Mytilus edulis: one gene and its partner. The protein of the gene in region 2 purifies or fractionates together with the protein of the main gene of each other region. This does not show direct contact. Links are inferred from orthologs where the notes say so. Each region holds a gene or a part of one and is shown on either strand. Other genes may lie near its edges.

Region 1 (7,282 bases), on a different chromosome or scaffold from region 2:
GTAAATTAAATGGCCTTCCAAATACCGTTTCGATCCCTAACATCACTGAAGAGACATTTATTGTCGAAATCCGGATCTGGTGTACACAAAAAAAATATTGACACCTTATGTTTGTGGCATAACATCTTGGACACAACTTTATTGTTTTCTGTTTAGTATTAAATTTGTATTAGGATCTATTTTGTTACATCTTGTAATCAATTTCATTTGGCAATCACCAATGGCAGTCAGCAGGGTTAAAGAACATCAAGTGTTCGACCTGTTAGTCAAATGCGTTTTGTTTAAAAAATACTTTTTCACTGTTTTGATCTTTTGGAAATGTTGTTTGTGCTGTATTTAGACCCTTCTGCAACGAAATTTGTTTTACATGCACACGAATAAAAATTGCGGTTTTTATCCAACATAGGTTTGATCGAGTTTCAATTTAGACTTGTTTATATTTGTCTTAATATATATATATATATATATGTGTGTGTTTTCACCTCAAAAACTAACAAAACCTTTTAATAGACTTATCAAGAAGGGATATAGTTACGATGCTGTTGTCAGGTCATTAAAGATTGCTTATTTTGGAGTTAATATTGATTCACTTATAGGGTCTTTGCATCGGAACTAAACACATGAAATAAAAAACCAGTTGTTGGCATGACACGGGTTTTGTTCTTCTCATATATGTTATGATGGTATCATACTTAACCCCTAACGGGAAGGATTGTGTCTGATATTCATATGATGAAATCATAATCTTTCAATCAGTTTAATTAAAGTCTGGAGCTGGCATGTCAGTTAACTGCTAGTAGTCTGTTGTTTATGTATTATTGTCATTTTGTTTATTTTCTTTGGTTACTTCTTCTGACATCAGACTCGGACCTCTCTTGAACTGAATTTTAAATGTGCGTATTGTTATGCATTTACTTTTCTACATTGGCTAGAAGTATAGGGGGAGGGTTGAGATCTCATAAACATGTTTAACCCCGCCGCATTTTTGCGCCAGTCCCAAGTCAGGAGCCTCTGGCCTTTGTTAGTCTTGCATTTTTTAATTTTGGTTTCTCGTGTACAATTTGAAAATTAGTATGGCGTTCATTACCACTGACATAGTATATATTTGTTTAGGGGCCAGCTGAAGGACGCCTCCGGGTGCGAGAGTTTCTCTCTACATTGAAGACCTGTTGGTGACCTTCTGCTGTTGTTTTTTCTATGAGCAGGTTGTTGTCTCTTTGACACGTTCCCCTTTTCCATTCTCAATTTTATTTGTTTGCATGCATAAAGCATAAAATATTTATTTAAAGTCTGTTATATGTAATACAACATAAGCTCTGTAAGTCAGTAACCTAATGTTCAGTCGGGTTGTCGTTTGTTAATGTGATTCATAAGTGTTTCTCGGTTTTTTATACAGATTATACTATTCGTTTTCCTGTTTGAATTGTTTTACACTAGTCATTTTTGGGGCCCGTTATGTCTTGCTGTCCCCAAGGCTCCATGTTGACGACAGTACTTTAATTTACCTATAATGGTTTACTTTTACAAATTGAGACTTGGATGGAGATTGTCTCATTGGCATACATCTATTTACACCTGGTCGTTGAGCAAACAAAAAATACCAATCGTGTTAGAATGGCTAGGACTGTACTCTGATCTAAGTATTATCAATCGTGTTAGAATGACTAGGACTGTACTCTGATTTAAGTATTATCAATCGTGTTAGAATGACTAGGACTGTACTCTGATTTAAGTATTATCAATCGTGTTAGAATGGCTTGGACTGTACTCTGATTTAAGTACGTATTATCAATCGTGTTAGAATGGCTTGGACTGTACTCTGATTTAAGTATTATCAATCGTGTTAGAATGGCTTGGACTGTACTCTGATTTAAGTATTATCAATCGTGTTAGAATGACTAGGACTGTACTCTGATTTAAGTATTATCAATCGTGTTAGAATGACTAGGACTGTACTCTGATTTAAGTATTATCAATCGTGTTAGAATGGGTAGGACTGTACTCTGATTTAAGTGTTATCAATCGTATTAGAATGACTAGGACTGTACTCTGATTTAAGTATTATCAATCGTGTTAGAATGACTAGGACTGTACTCTGATTTAAGTATTATCAATCGTGTTAGAATGACTAGGACTGTACTCTGATTTAAGTATTATCAATCGTATTAGAATGACTAGGACTGTACTCTGATTTAAGTATTATCAATCGTGTTAGAATGACTAGGACTGTACTCTGATTTAAGTATTATCAATCGTGTTAGAATGACTAGGACTGTACTCTGATTTACAGTTGTGATTTGGACTTTGTATTGCATTTTCATTAAAAATCAGACTTTTTAAAAAATGATTCATTATCGGTGTGCTCTTTCCAATTTTTACAAATAATCGATTCACTGTCAACATTTCAATCAGTTGAATAACATATTAAGCAAACACGATTTGTGAAAATAATTCTGTTTAAAAATCGGAATAAAAATAAGACAAGGTAGACAGAGAAACCATAAAAAGATATTCAAGTATGTTTTCTATTGATACAGGGAACCATATGATTTATACTCTTTATACTCAGCATTCTTCTTGTTCTTTTTTCATTTTATTTTGGTTATCTTTTGGTGTAGATTTAGTTTTCATGCAAGTGGGTTTATCACCATAAGTCACAAAGTTATTTGTGGTTTATGGTTATTACTTATGCATATCTGTATATATATATATAGCCTGCAACTTTTACATTGAGTGCAATCATAAATGTTTTGGCAAACTGGGAGTAGGTCCAGTAAGGGCCAATTTTTGCCTCAATTTTCAAGTTCATCTGACGAAATATTTTAGACACTTTTTAAGTGTCTATTTTAATTGATTCAATTAGTTTTTGTGAAAGATTTCAACTGATTAAGGCATTCAAGATTCAAGCTTAAATATGAAAAATCTATCAAATTTGCAAAAATCGTCACTTTTCAGATGGTTTTTGTCAAAAATGAATGTGGCCGCATCCGTGTTCATCCTCAACCTTCATATATATTATGTATTATCATCAAATACAACCTACATTTCAATATTATGAATGAACACGAATGCGGCCACTTTCATTTTAGACAGAAACCGTCTAAAATTTTACTAAAGTGCTAAAATTATGAAGATTATGAAGTAATTTAGCATGACTTTATGATGCCAGTACCGATATATGTGCATTGTATTGTCAAAAAACAGCCAATACTTATGTAGCAGAATCATTCTACTTTCCAATAAATAGCTTAACGATTACATTATCACAATTTTGTAAAACTGCTATATTTTCGGGCCAAAAAGGGGCCTTACCGAACCTACTCCTTTGTATATAATGTTTTATCAAATTTATGATGCAATGAGATTTTTAACTTTTTTTTTTTTTTTATAACATACAGTTAAAAAAATCTGAGATTTTATTCTTATGCATATGATGTAGCTTAAAATTGACTGATTTTAGAAATATTTTTGTACATGATTAGATATGATTTCATTGCAACAAATGACTGATAAATGTTTTAATTGTATATATATAGAGAACGTTTTATCCTGTAAATAGACAAGAGAAAACTTTCTGTTATGTCCGACATTGTGTTAGTTTTCGCGGGACCGCATACATTCAAATATTGAATTCAGTTCCTTACATGGAAGAAGGAGGAGAAACGAATATATTGAATGAAAAAATTATCTTTATTCTCATAATCCAAATACATAGTTACAGAGAAGATATTACACTCATATATATATAGGATATAGCATGTGTGAAATACAGATTAATATGTTGATAGCTGTTTTCTTATTCAACTTAGTACTGGTATATCAGTAATTATATTTGATATTTTAATGATGACAGTGCATATATTATTAGCACTTTTCACAAGTAAATGTCAAGATTCACTCTTTACAAAGCGGGACCGACAAAATAACAAATTCACTATATTTCTTGAGAAATATGCTATTTTTCTAGTTTGAATTAATAGATTTTAATCAGAGCTCGTCTTTGCCGGTTCCGGCATAATAGCCATTGTCTATTGTTTTTCTCTCCTAAATCAATGTATGTATACGCCGGAGCGTGTTGACATACACGTACGTAGCTGCGCACTCATTTTTCTTGGTTGGGATTAAGCTGTACTTTAAATGGTCCTCAGAGGCAACAGTATATCAAAAGTGTCTCTCTAGATTTATCAATCAAAAGATACAGGTTTAAAGTCCACTATGGGGAGCACAGAATCAGACACCTATTCAAGAGTTTTAAAGAATTGTATTCTCCCATTCAGTGTGTCAGCGGCAGCATTTGGAGCTCTGTTTGTTTTAAGAAAATTTGGCATAATTTACCAGTTGTTTAACAAGGCAAATAAACTTATTTTCTACTGAACCCCACGTCTCACTCACAAATCCTACCTAGCCAGTTCAATGATGTCTATCATCCCTACTTACCTTCTAACAATGTCTAACCTTCTGGTCATGCTAGTAGTAGTTACTGTTGGAGCTTTGTTGTATACCGACAAACCCCAAATTCCGACAATAGTCTGACTGTTCAATAGGCGGTATGGGTCCGCTCGACAGTCTGACAGTTCTATAGTCCGACAGTTCTATAGTCTGACGTTTTGATAGGCTGACATATACAACATGTACAACCAGATATGATACAGACTAATCACAGGCACTAGACTTTCTACCTGGCTTTCCACCTTACTTTTCCAAAACTGAATCCCTGTTATTCATGTTATTGTTTTTAACTTATTTCACAGATAATCCCCCCACACTGTGTAGATAAATCAATTTAGATAAAGGACATAATAAATTTTAAGTAGGTTTGGCAACTGAGAAATCGAAATAAATCAGAATTTCACGACCGAGTGTGTTTTTCAAAAAACCTAATATATAGTAACTTGTGTTATAATAAGGTATACATGGTATATATGATTTTTTTTCTAAGACATGTGCCTCTGCTTGGATGGTCCCGTTCCTAAAACTTTGTCTCCTACCAAGATGTCCACCACAGCTGAACTTAGCTAAACATACTAGGATAATATGGAAAATTCACATAAAGATCTTCTTGTCTGGAACCAGTGGGCCAATTAGGACGAAACTTTGGTTAAATGGTCCATAGCTATAGGTGTTCCCCTTTCAAAGATATTTCCAACATTCTTTAACCTGCAAACAAGATAACCGCTACAATCAAACTTAGTTTAATACCGGCATCACACATTAGTGTATAGCTCCGACATACACTGGGCGTGGTAAAAAATCCTGTATGCTGCCAATACGCTAGTAAAAAAACCTAACCCTAAATGCTGTGCTTAAAAATGGTGTTAAAACACAAAAAATCAAAATCAAATCTAAACATTTTATGACTGATATTTTGATTAGTTTTCTTATCAATTATATATATATAATCAATATATTTGTTGTTTTAACTCTACACAGGTAGACCTAGATGTTTTTTCTTCCTAATTTAAATACAAAACAGTGTAGCTATTACTGATCATTTAAGCATTGTTTAATCAGGAGAAAATTAGAAGCAATAAAAGGGAAAAATATCACTAACACAACTAATCAACTCAGATGCAAAATAGTCAGCAATAAAGGTTGTATTTCACGAAAGTTTAACAATAAATGTTTAAAAAGCATTAAACCAATCATCATGCGTAATACTCAACTGGTATAACAAAATATCCAATTCCTTGAATACACATAAAGTTGAACTAAAAAAAAATACATACAGAAACCCCAAAAATGTTAATTAGTGAATATTTCTGGACAACAAGAAGAAGAACACTTCCTTGTTTTGATCTTCACAAATAAGGAAAAAAAATACTGAAAAAATATATATATATTCAACATATTCATCACGAATGTCATGGGTGCTGATCATGAAATGACTACATGGGGTGCTGATTTAAACAGGTGCAAATTTGACTAGGTCACGATTTGATTATACCAGGTGCTGATTTATCCAGATGCCATTTGAGTAGAACTTGCCTGATACTTAGACATGTTAGATAGTCCAATAACCTCACAGTCCGAATGACAAAAATTGATCATCATGACGCTCTGTTGCAGAAGAGGATACTGCCTTCACAAAAGCTAACTAGCAATGACTAGTAAACAGTCAAAAGAAAGCAGTGATTAGAATTTCCATTAGTGGAATGTGTTGTAAATTATTGGGATCCAAATTGAATACTGATTAAACAATTATTTTAAGATTCCATTCATGATCACTTTTTCAAATTTAGGGATCTCCATGACTGGTTTTATGATAGCAACTGCCCAGTTGAAATATCTGCTGCCACTCCCAAATAATCCCCGCCATTGTGATAATTTATTGTTGTTTCTCTAGCCGCAGCGATTTTTAGCAATTATGATCAATTGAATGAGAGAAAACACTTGATCAAGATTGATTGCATTATTTAGTTATTTTACCATGTTTACAGCAAATGCTTTAGAAAATTAAGATTGAAAAATAAATCTAATACATGTCATTGCATGTAATAATTCACTTACAAAGACAAAAAAGTTAAAAACATTCTTTTACATTGACTTGCACAAACAGCTCCCCTTTTAAATGAGTACAAAATAAGACATAAAACAGATAATGATTGTGTTGTTTGGCATAAAACTATTATAATTTCATACCAAATAAAATGAGTACAAAAATTATCTATAAATTTGAATCACTAAATGCAAGTTTAGAAGTAAATACTTGAATATTAACTGCAACTTCATAATCTGAAGAAATTTCTTATCATAATTCTGAATTCATTTTGTAGCTAACAATCAAATTAATACAAACCAGTGTTTTGTATATATATTTCTAATACTATGTCAATTTATCCCTTTCTGCACCCATTGTATAAAATTTTTTAATCAACTTGTGGTTTGTTTAATTTCAGTTCTTCATTGGTTAAAATATTATTATGAAGTCGAATATTCTTGTTTTCCTCCGAATTTCCTTTTGTGACGGCATGAAAAAAGGCGACCATGCCTGATGACGTCACATAGAATGAACACATCTTTTTGCAGATCAGTCGCAAAGAAGCAATAAGTTTGCTTGCCTATTGTTTCAAAATCATTAGAGAAACAGATTCCACCACCAAACCTTGTATAATACGATATTTATCCACTCTCGACAATTAAATTTTAAATATTTAAAACACTCTGCAAGCCTCCCATTTTAAATTTGAAAATTTAACTGTCTTGAGTGGATGAATATTGTATCACACTCGATGCAGTGGTAGAATCTATATTTATCTTTTAAACAGATTTCAAACATATACAC
Region 2 (7,081 bases):
TCACAAAATTGAAGGTGTACATGAGTTGGTCCATAATTATTTGTTTAATTAAAATCTAATAAGATGGTCACCCTCCCTCAGTTGTACAGGAATCAAGATTAGGTACTTACGGAACATAAATTATTTCTATACATGTACCATTTCATGTACATGTATACAACCCTACAGAATGACGATTATGAAGATGCTTGAAACTTTTAATAGAGCAGGGATATAGACGTGCCTTTTATCTCGGACATGATGTCTTAAAGACTGACAAATTGATGATCTTTTTTTGGTGAAAGACATGATTCCAGAAATGACCTATAAATCAACACAAGCGTATAGTCCGTCCGCCCTGATTTCGGTTCGCCCTAGTTACTGTTCGCCCTTGTTCCGTTTCGCCCTGAGACCGTTTGCCCTGATTTTTATTTTTTATTATAGTGTTGTGTTGTGTGTATTTAATTTTATATGTTGAAGTCAGTCTACAATTTTGCCGAATATTTACGAACTATTGAGAACTAAGTTAGTATCTGTATGTAATTACATTACTAGAAAATCACTATCACACATCCTTTTACTTTACATTTCCACACATGATTTGATCAATAAAAATGATACATTAGGAGCACTAAAGTTATACATAAGAAAGTGTTCAAAGTTCAAAGTGTTAATTGATCTAAAATTCTTTACTGCAGCGGCTGAACGTTGTCTAGTGGGTTGTCGGACGGCTTGTCACAGTTTGGCAATAACTTTGTAAAAAATTTATTTGAGAAAAAAGTTATTTTCATTATTAATCCATCAAAGACAATTCATATAACAATCAGTGATATCAAAGATTTCAAATTATCAGCAATCAAAATTCAATCAACAGTAATTAAAAGTAATTATAAAATAAAGTGTAACAATGCAGCCAAGAATTTTATTTCATTAATATTCTGTATTTAACTTTTAATAGATATACATGTACATAAATTTTAAGGGTTACACTAAAGACCTGAAAGTGGACCTGAAAAGACCTGAAAAGACCTGAAAAGACCTGAAAATATACGACTAAAATTATTCAAATTGCAATAACTTTTTTATTATTGGATGGAATTTCTTCAAGTTGGAATTTTATTAATTGTAAATATTCAGATTTCATTCAAATTAAAAAAAAATTAAATAAAAAACAATTTTTTGATGCCAAAAGTTGGACCTGAACGGAGAAATGAAAAGACCTGAAGGGACCTGAAAATCTATGTCGGACTAATTCTAACTACAATAACTTTTTTAATATTCAATGGATATCTTTCAACTTTTGATTTTATGACACAAAAAGTTCAATATAATGATAATATGAAAAAAAATATGTGAAAAATATTGTTGGGGTGTCAAAATTCGGACCTGAACGAAAAATTCAAAATCTGAATGAGCCTAAAATTCCACATTATTTTAAAACGAAAATAATAAACATAGACGAAAAATATGATTGATAACTTTTCATGTTCGATGTCATTTGGTCTCTTGTAGAGATCTGTCTCATTGGTATCACACCACATCTCCCTATTTTTTATTGACAGGAGATACTAACATGATAAAGATTGAAGATACCAAGGAATAATCAAAACTCGGATGTCAAAACTTATAAGTCAAAGAGATATACCATAGAAATAAATAATTGAGAAAAAGGTTTGGTGTCTTTAAACTACAATAACCCCGTCACAATTTTTGTGGTGTCCCAAGTCTGGAACCTGCACTTTGTGACAAACGTCGGACCTGTTGAATGAAAAATGAAGTCCTGAATGAACCTGGATATATATAGCGTCTCGATCGGTATGATGTTAGTCTGGTGTGTTCAGTTAGCAAAGGTAATGGCAATGCAGGAGACATGCTGATATATAATAACGTTGGAAACTATACTTGTACGCACTTTGTTGAATATTTTTATTCTGACTAAAAACGATTCAAAGTTGACTATAATTTATAAAAAGTAAGAGCGTTGATCTGAATTCACTGATTAGTTTGATATATGCTTATATTTTTAATTTGTAAAGTTTATACTTGAATGAATGAATCTTTATTGCAAAGCATAGACAGGCTATGGCAAAATTAACAACATATATTACATAATATAAAACATGAATAGACAACAGAGAACAATAGTAAAATACAATGACATATAAATTGAGTTATGAGACTATATAAGATCGAATATTCAATGCAGCTTTTACATAATTACATAATTTGATCGTGAGAGACTTACTAGAAGCTTGTAGTAAATTTAATAGTTTGATATTATTAGGCCAATGACAATAGTACTTTGGTAAAAATTGTGTTCGTACAGATCTATACTATACTTTAATTGGTGACCGAGCAATGTTTAGTTCGTGTAACAAGATAAAGTGATAATCCAATTAGAAGATTAAAGTGAAATGTTTATTTAGACTAATGATCCAATTATCACCTAATATCAAAACAAGGTGTGAATTACAACCGGCACACGTTCGTGTAATTAAAACATTCCAATCGACGAACTCTTTAAATGACATATGGTTTATGGGGAAGCAATACTAATACTTTCATTTTATAAATAAAGCAGTTTACGACCAGCTTTAATATAGAATAAGAATAAAATATATATTAATGTAGTTTAAACAAGTTGTATTAGTTTGAATAATTTCAACGTACAATCTTCCTCTTTTTTCCCCTTAGGTTCAGGATTCATCAATAACAATGTACTTTGTTTTCAAATATGTTCCTGTATAAATATAAAGTCATTCGTTCTCTTCAATAGACTTTTGTCTAAAATAGAAACAAATAGGAAAACAATGTTTTGCGAGTTTAAATACAACTACCCCTATAATCCATTCATGTCTTTTATTTCACCGACAAGGTCCGAATTTTGTAACTAAATAATTATATTTTCGATAAAATTCTTTATAATTTCATTGATATATTATACCTTTCCTATAACAAAATTCATATTTCAAGGAGAATGATTGAAAACAGTTAAAGATATTGAATAAATCTGACCGCAGTCTTTTCAAGCAAATTTATGTTCCTTAATTTTCCGTTCAGTTCCGAGTTTTCACACCCAAATGGTATTTTTCATATTTTTTTTTTAATTTTATCATTATATTGAACTTTTTGTGTCACAAAAACAAAAGTTGAAAGATATCCATTGAATATTAAAAAAGTTATTGTAGTTAGAATTAGTCCGACATAGATTTTCAGGTCCCTTCAGGTCTTTTCATTTCTCCGTTCAGGTCCAACTTTTGGCATCAAAAAATTGTTTTTTATTTAATTTTTTTTAATTTGAATGAAATCTGAATATTTACAATTAATAAAATTCCAACTTGAAGAAATTCCATCCAATAATAAAAAAGTTATTGCAATTTGAATAATTTTAGTCGTATATTTTCAGGTCTTTTCAGGTCTTTTCAGGTCCACTTTCAGGTCTTTAGTGTAACCCAAATTTTAATATATATATTTTATTTCATCATTAATGTAACGTATCCATTGTACATATATATCATAAATGAAAATAGGGCGAAAGAACCCAGGGCGAACAAACTCAGTGCGAACGAACCTAGGGCAAACATGTAATCAGAGCGAACGATCCCGATACCCAAGCGTACATAATCCTTATAATCATGATACTAACACCAACACTGTACATGCTGTTCTTGCTGTATATGCATACATGTATATATTTTTTTATTTCTAAGTTTATGTTATGTAAAAATTAAATGAAAACTGTTGTTTGTAAACTGTCCTTGTGGGACATTGACTGGTTAAATGGAATATTTCATTTATATAATCTGATAATTTTACAAAAATCAAAGGTCAAAGTTGCAAAGTGACGCATTATCAATCTTTATAAAAACATATATACACAAATAATAAAGATAACTCTTTAAAATGATATGCAAAAAAAGTATTATCGTTAGTTTACCGTCTGATTAGCTAATTTTGTTCTGCAGCACCTCGAAAACATTTTTATGCAACAATATTTTTACCCCGGAAGTAATCGGACTGTTGAAATATTAAAACAAATGCGGGCAGAAACGACATTCGTATTGGTCAAGACTGACTTGCTTCCCTGCTTGCTTCAAGGCTTCAAGTGCAAGATGCCAAAACCTCAACATATAGACCATTCCCCCGAAGCTAGCATAACTACACCAAAAGAGGACATTGCCAATGTCCCCAAATTTGGTTGGAGAGTAAACTTCGAACATGAATGCAAGGACAAATGTGATCCATTTGTAAAACCCAGACTCACCCACATTCCTGAATTAATTGGTCTTAGCTATAGGTAAACGTTTTACATTGTGACCAGACATTGTACATTATGCCACATATTAAACATGGTTATAGGTACGAATTTACTAGGGTGTTTCAAGTTTTTAAACATGCATAAAGACTGGCAAGGTACTTTGTGGAAAGGTGCTGTTGCACATGCATCAAAATTGCATGCTCCTTCTAGACAAATCAAGAAAGATTTATGTTTGTTTCTTTAAAAATTTGTTGGCTAAATTGTACCGTTCTTTTGCCTCATTGCACATGTTGCAAAAATAGACTGATTAGTCCAGGATGCACAACATTTCCTATAACTGGAAATCATGGAATCTTTGCTTGTATATGATAACATTTTATTTGAATGAACAAGATTAAGAAAGAAATTTGTGTCAGGGATTTGAATTGGATGAAAAAACTTCTGAAATTTGTTATTTGTTTACGTTGCAGCCATCTATATTCCAAGGCACATATCACATAATTTCTTTTTCTATATTATTACAGCATCTGGTCTGTTTCTAACATACATGTATGTGGATGACATTACTTTTGCCAGAAAATGTTCCTTTTTATCACAAAATTGTGTTTCTACAAAACCTTTCCTACAATAATTTTGTATTTTTTTACACTTGGCAAGTCAGATGACTTATATAGAGAGATACCGTTTAACAGAAATACACCAGGAAATTTTCAAGCAATTTCTTTAATATGATTCCAATATGGCCTTTATATGAGCCTTGATGCAAATGCTCTATTCATTGAATGTTGAACTTCAGGCGCGGATTCAGAGGGGGGGTTCTGGGGGTTGGAACCCCCCCTTTTTTTTGGACGATCAATGCATTTGAATCGGGACATGTAATTGGAACCCCCCCTTTGTCCTGGGTTAGGAACCCCCCCTTTTTAAAAGGACTGGATCCGCCCCTGAACTTGGATAGTGTATTTTCCATAAGTTTAGTTCTAAAATGCTTACGGTAAATGTCAAAGGTTAAAAGAATTCTTATGTGTCTGTTGGTGGCATGATGCAAGACAAAATCGTAACATCATGAAATATTTTCCACTGCAAACAACAATTAATCTATTTATCAGAAAAATGTTATTGAATGTCGGAAAGTCTAAAACTTTGTACTGTTGGTTGTTACAGATATATGAAAGTATGGATAAAGCACAAAAGACAGGGAAGAATAATGTTTATAGATCATCTCAATCAAGTTACTCACAAGCCTATTTATGGTAAGAATTAACAGAAGACATAGTTTGTGTTTAACTGAATCCCCAAATTGAGTGGACCACTGCATCAAGTCTTGGTATCTGAGTCGTCTAAGGAGTTTATCTACTGTTTCACTAGTCTGTCCACAATGTGGTATCAGGTTTCCTACTGAAACTTGCCTCAGTGGTTCTGCTCAGAGACCTGGGCTTCAAAACTAATAAAAACTGACCACCATAGTATTGACAATAGTTTTGAAGGGTGATTTATATACCAAAAAATTCTGACAGGATTTTTTTCCTATTTTGAGACTCGTCAATCAATTTTAATATCTAGAATTGGAGACGCATTGTATTGCTCAAAATTTTTCTTGATGATCTGCTTTTATGTCGACAAACATGGTAACTTTTTTGTGACGTTTCAATAACATGTTAAATATCTGTCAATGAGACAGTAAACAAATGATAAAAAAAAAAAACCCCAAAAAGATAGCTTGTCAGAGAAAATTTGACAGGTCAGGTTTTAACAATAAACCTGAAATAAAGGTCACAGGTCATATTAAATGGGTAAAACTGATACATACTAAATTCAGGTCCCGTAACTTAGAATGAGTTCGACATGTTAGATATGATGAAATAATACAATATTTGTAGGACTTTTTTCTAGTGAGAATTCTTTAAATATACTTGTACATATTTTGCAGGTGGTCTTATAAGGGATATAGATTGTGGAATGGTTTAATCTTGTTTATTTTGCATGATTTCTGTATGGCAATGTAAGTTGTGGGCCAATTGACTGTTTCTGCCTGGGAAAGTTGTGTTGGTTTACTGTCAATTCAGAAATTATTGTGAGGTTTTTATTATTGCGAAAAATGCAACAAAGTTGTAAACGCAATAATTTAAACTAGCATTTTGAAATATTTTATATAATTTTTTTCTCAATATCCTAAAAATTGAAATCACATTTAAGTCTAAAATGACAAAATCACAATAGTAAATGCCGGCAATAATTTCTGAATTTACAGTAACTATATCATTTATGTATATTTATTACAAGTGCATGGTTGAGGATTTTTTTAATAATTTTGTAGATATTTCATAATATGTTTAGTGGTTGTCTTATTAGTGGTATGGATTGTGGTGTCAAGAAATAGAAGTTCCTTTAATCTTGTATTGTAAGAAGAATTCTTAAGATAAACTGTTACATATTTTACAGGCTGTCCAATAGGTGGTATAGGGTGTGGGACCATTGGTCGTGGTTACCGAGGTGAATTTTGTAGATTTCAGATGGTGCCAGGGATATATGAACATACTATTGTACCAGCAAATTCTGTAAGTACAATAATAACTGCAATCTTCATGACCTACCATTGTCAAACCTAATGAGAGTGGTATAATGCTATTCTGGTGTATGCCATCTGTTTGTCCATCTGTTCATTCCATAAAAGTTCTGCCACATTTTTCTACGGTATTACATTTACATATCAAAACTTCCTTAAATTCAGATTTTGAACTTTTTGTTAACTGAATACCTATAATATATTGTTACAAATTCTGACCATGTATGAAATTTAGTGTTCAGGAACTATAAATAAGAATTTTCTGAAATGTGGCATCAATA

The links.
Region 1: the proteins of non-lysosomal glucosylceramidase-like (region 2) and 2-hydroxyacyl-CoA lyase 2-like purify together in Homo sapiens (co-immunoprecipitation; 3 studies listed by BioGRID and IntAct, counting the BioPlex papers as one, with this or other methods). This does not show direct contact. The link is inferred for Mytilus edulis from reciprocal best matches to the Homo sapiens genes GBA2 and HACL2.

Annotation. Positions count from the first base shown.
Region 1 is NC_092350.1:93,317,751-93,325,032, forward strand, and holds the start of 2-hydroxyacyl-CoA lyase 2-like, read left to right. Parts: upstream 1-4,174; 5' UTR 4,175-4,215; coding exon 4,216-4,350; intron 4,351-7,282. UniProt on the Homo sapiens protein: Endoplasmic reticulum 2-OH acyl-CoA lyase involved in the cleavage (C1 removal) reaction in the fatty acid alpha-oxydation in a thiamine pyrophosphate (TPP)-dependent manner. Involved in the phytosphingosine degradation pathway.
Region 2 is NC_092347.1:28,764,429-28,771,509, forward strand, and holds the start of non-lysosomal glucosylceramidase-like, read left to right. Parts: upstream 1-4,015; 5' UTR 4,016-4,016; coding exon 4,017-4,276; intron 4,277-5,398; coding exon 5,399-5,487; intron 5,488-6,676; coding exon 6,677-6,792; intron 6,793-7,081. Other genes in the region: electron transfer flavoprotein subunit alpha, mitochondrial-like, read right to left, coding at 3,917-3,958. UniProt on the Homo sapiens protein: Non-lysosomal glucosylceramidase that catalyzes the hydrolysis of glucosylceramides/GlcCers (such as beta-D-glucosyl-(1<->1')-N-acylsphing-4-enine) to free glucose and ceramides (such as N-acylsphing-4-enine).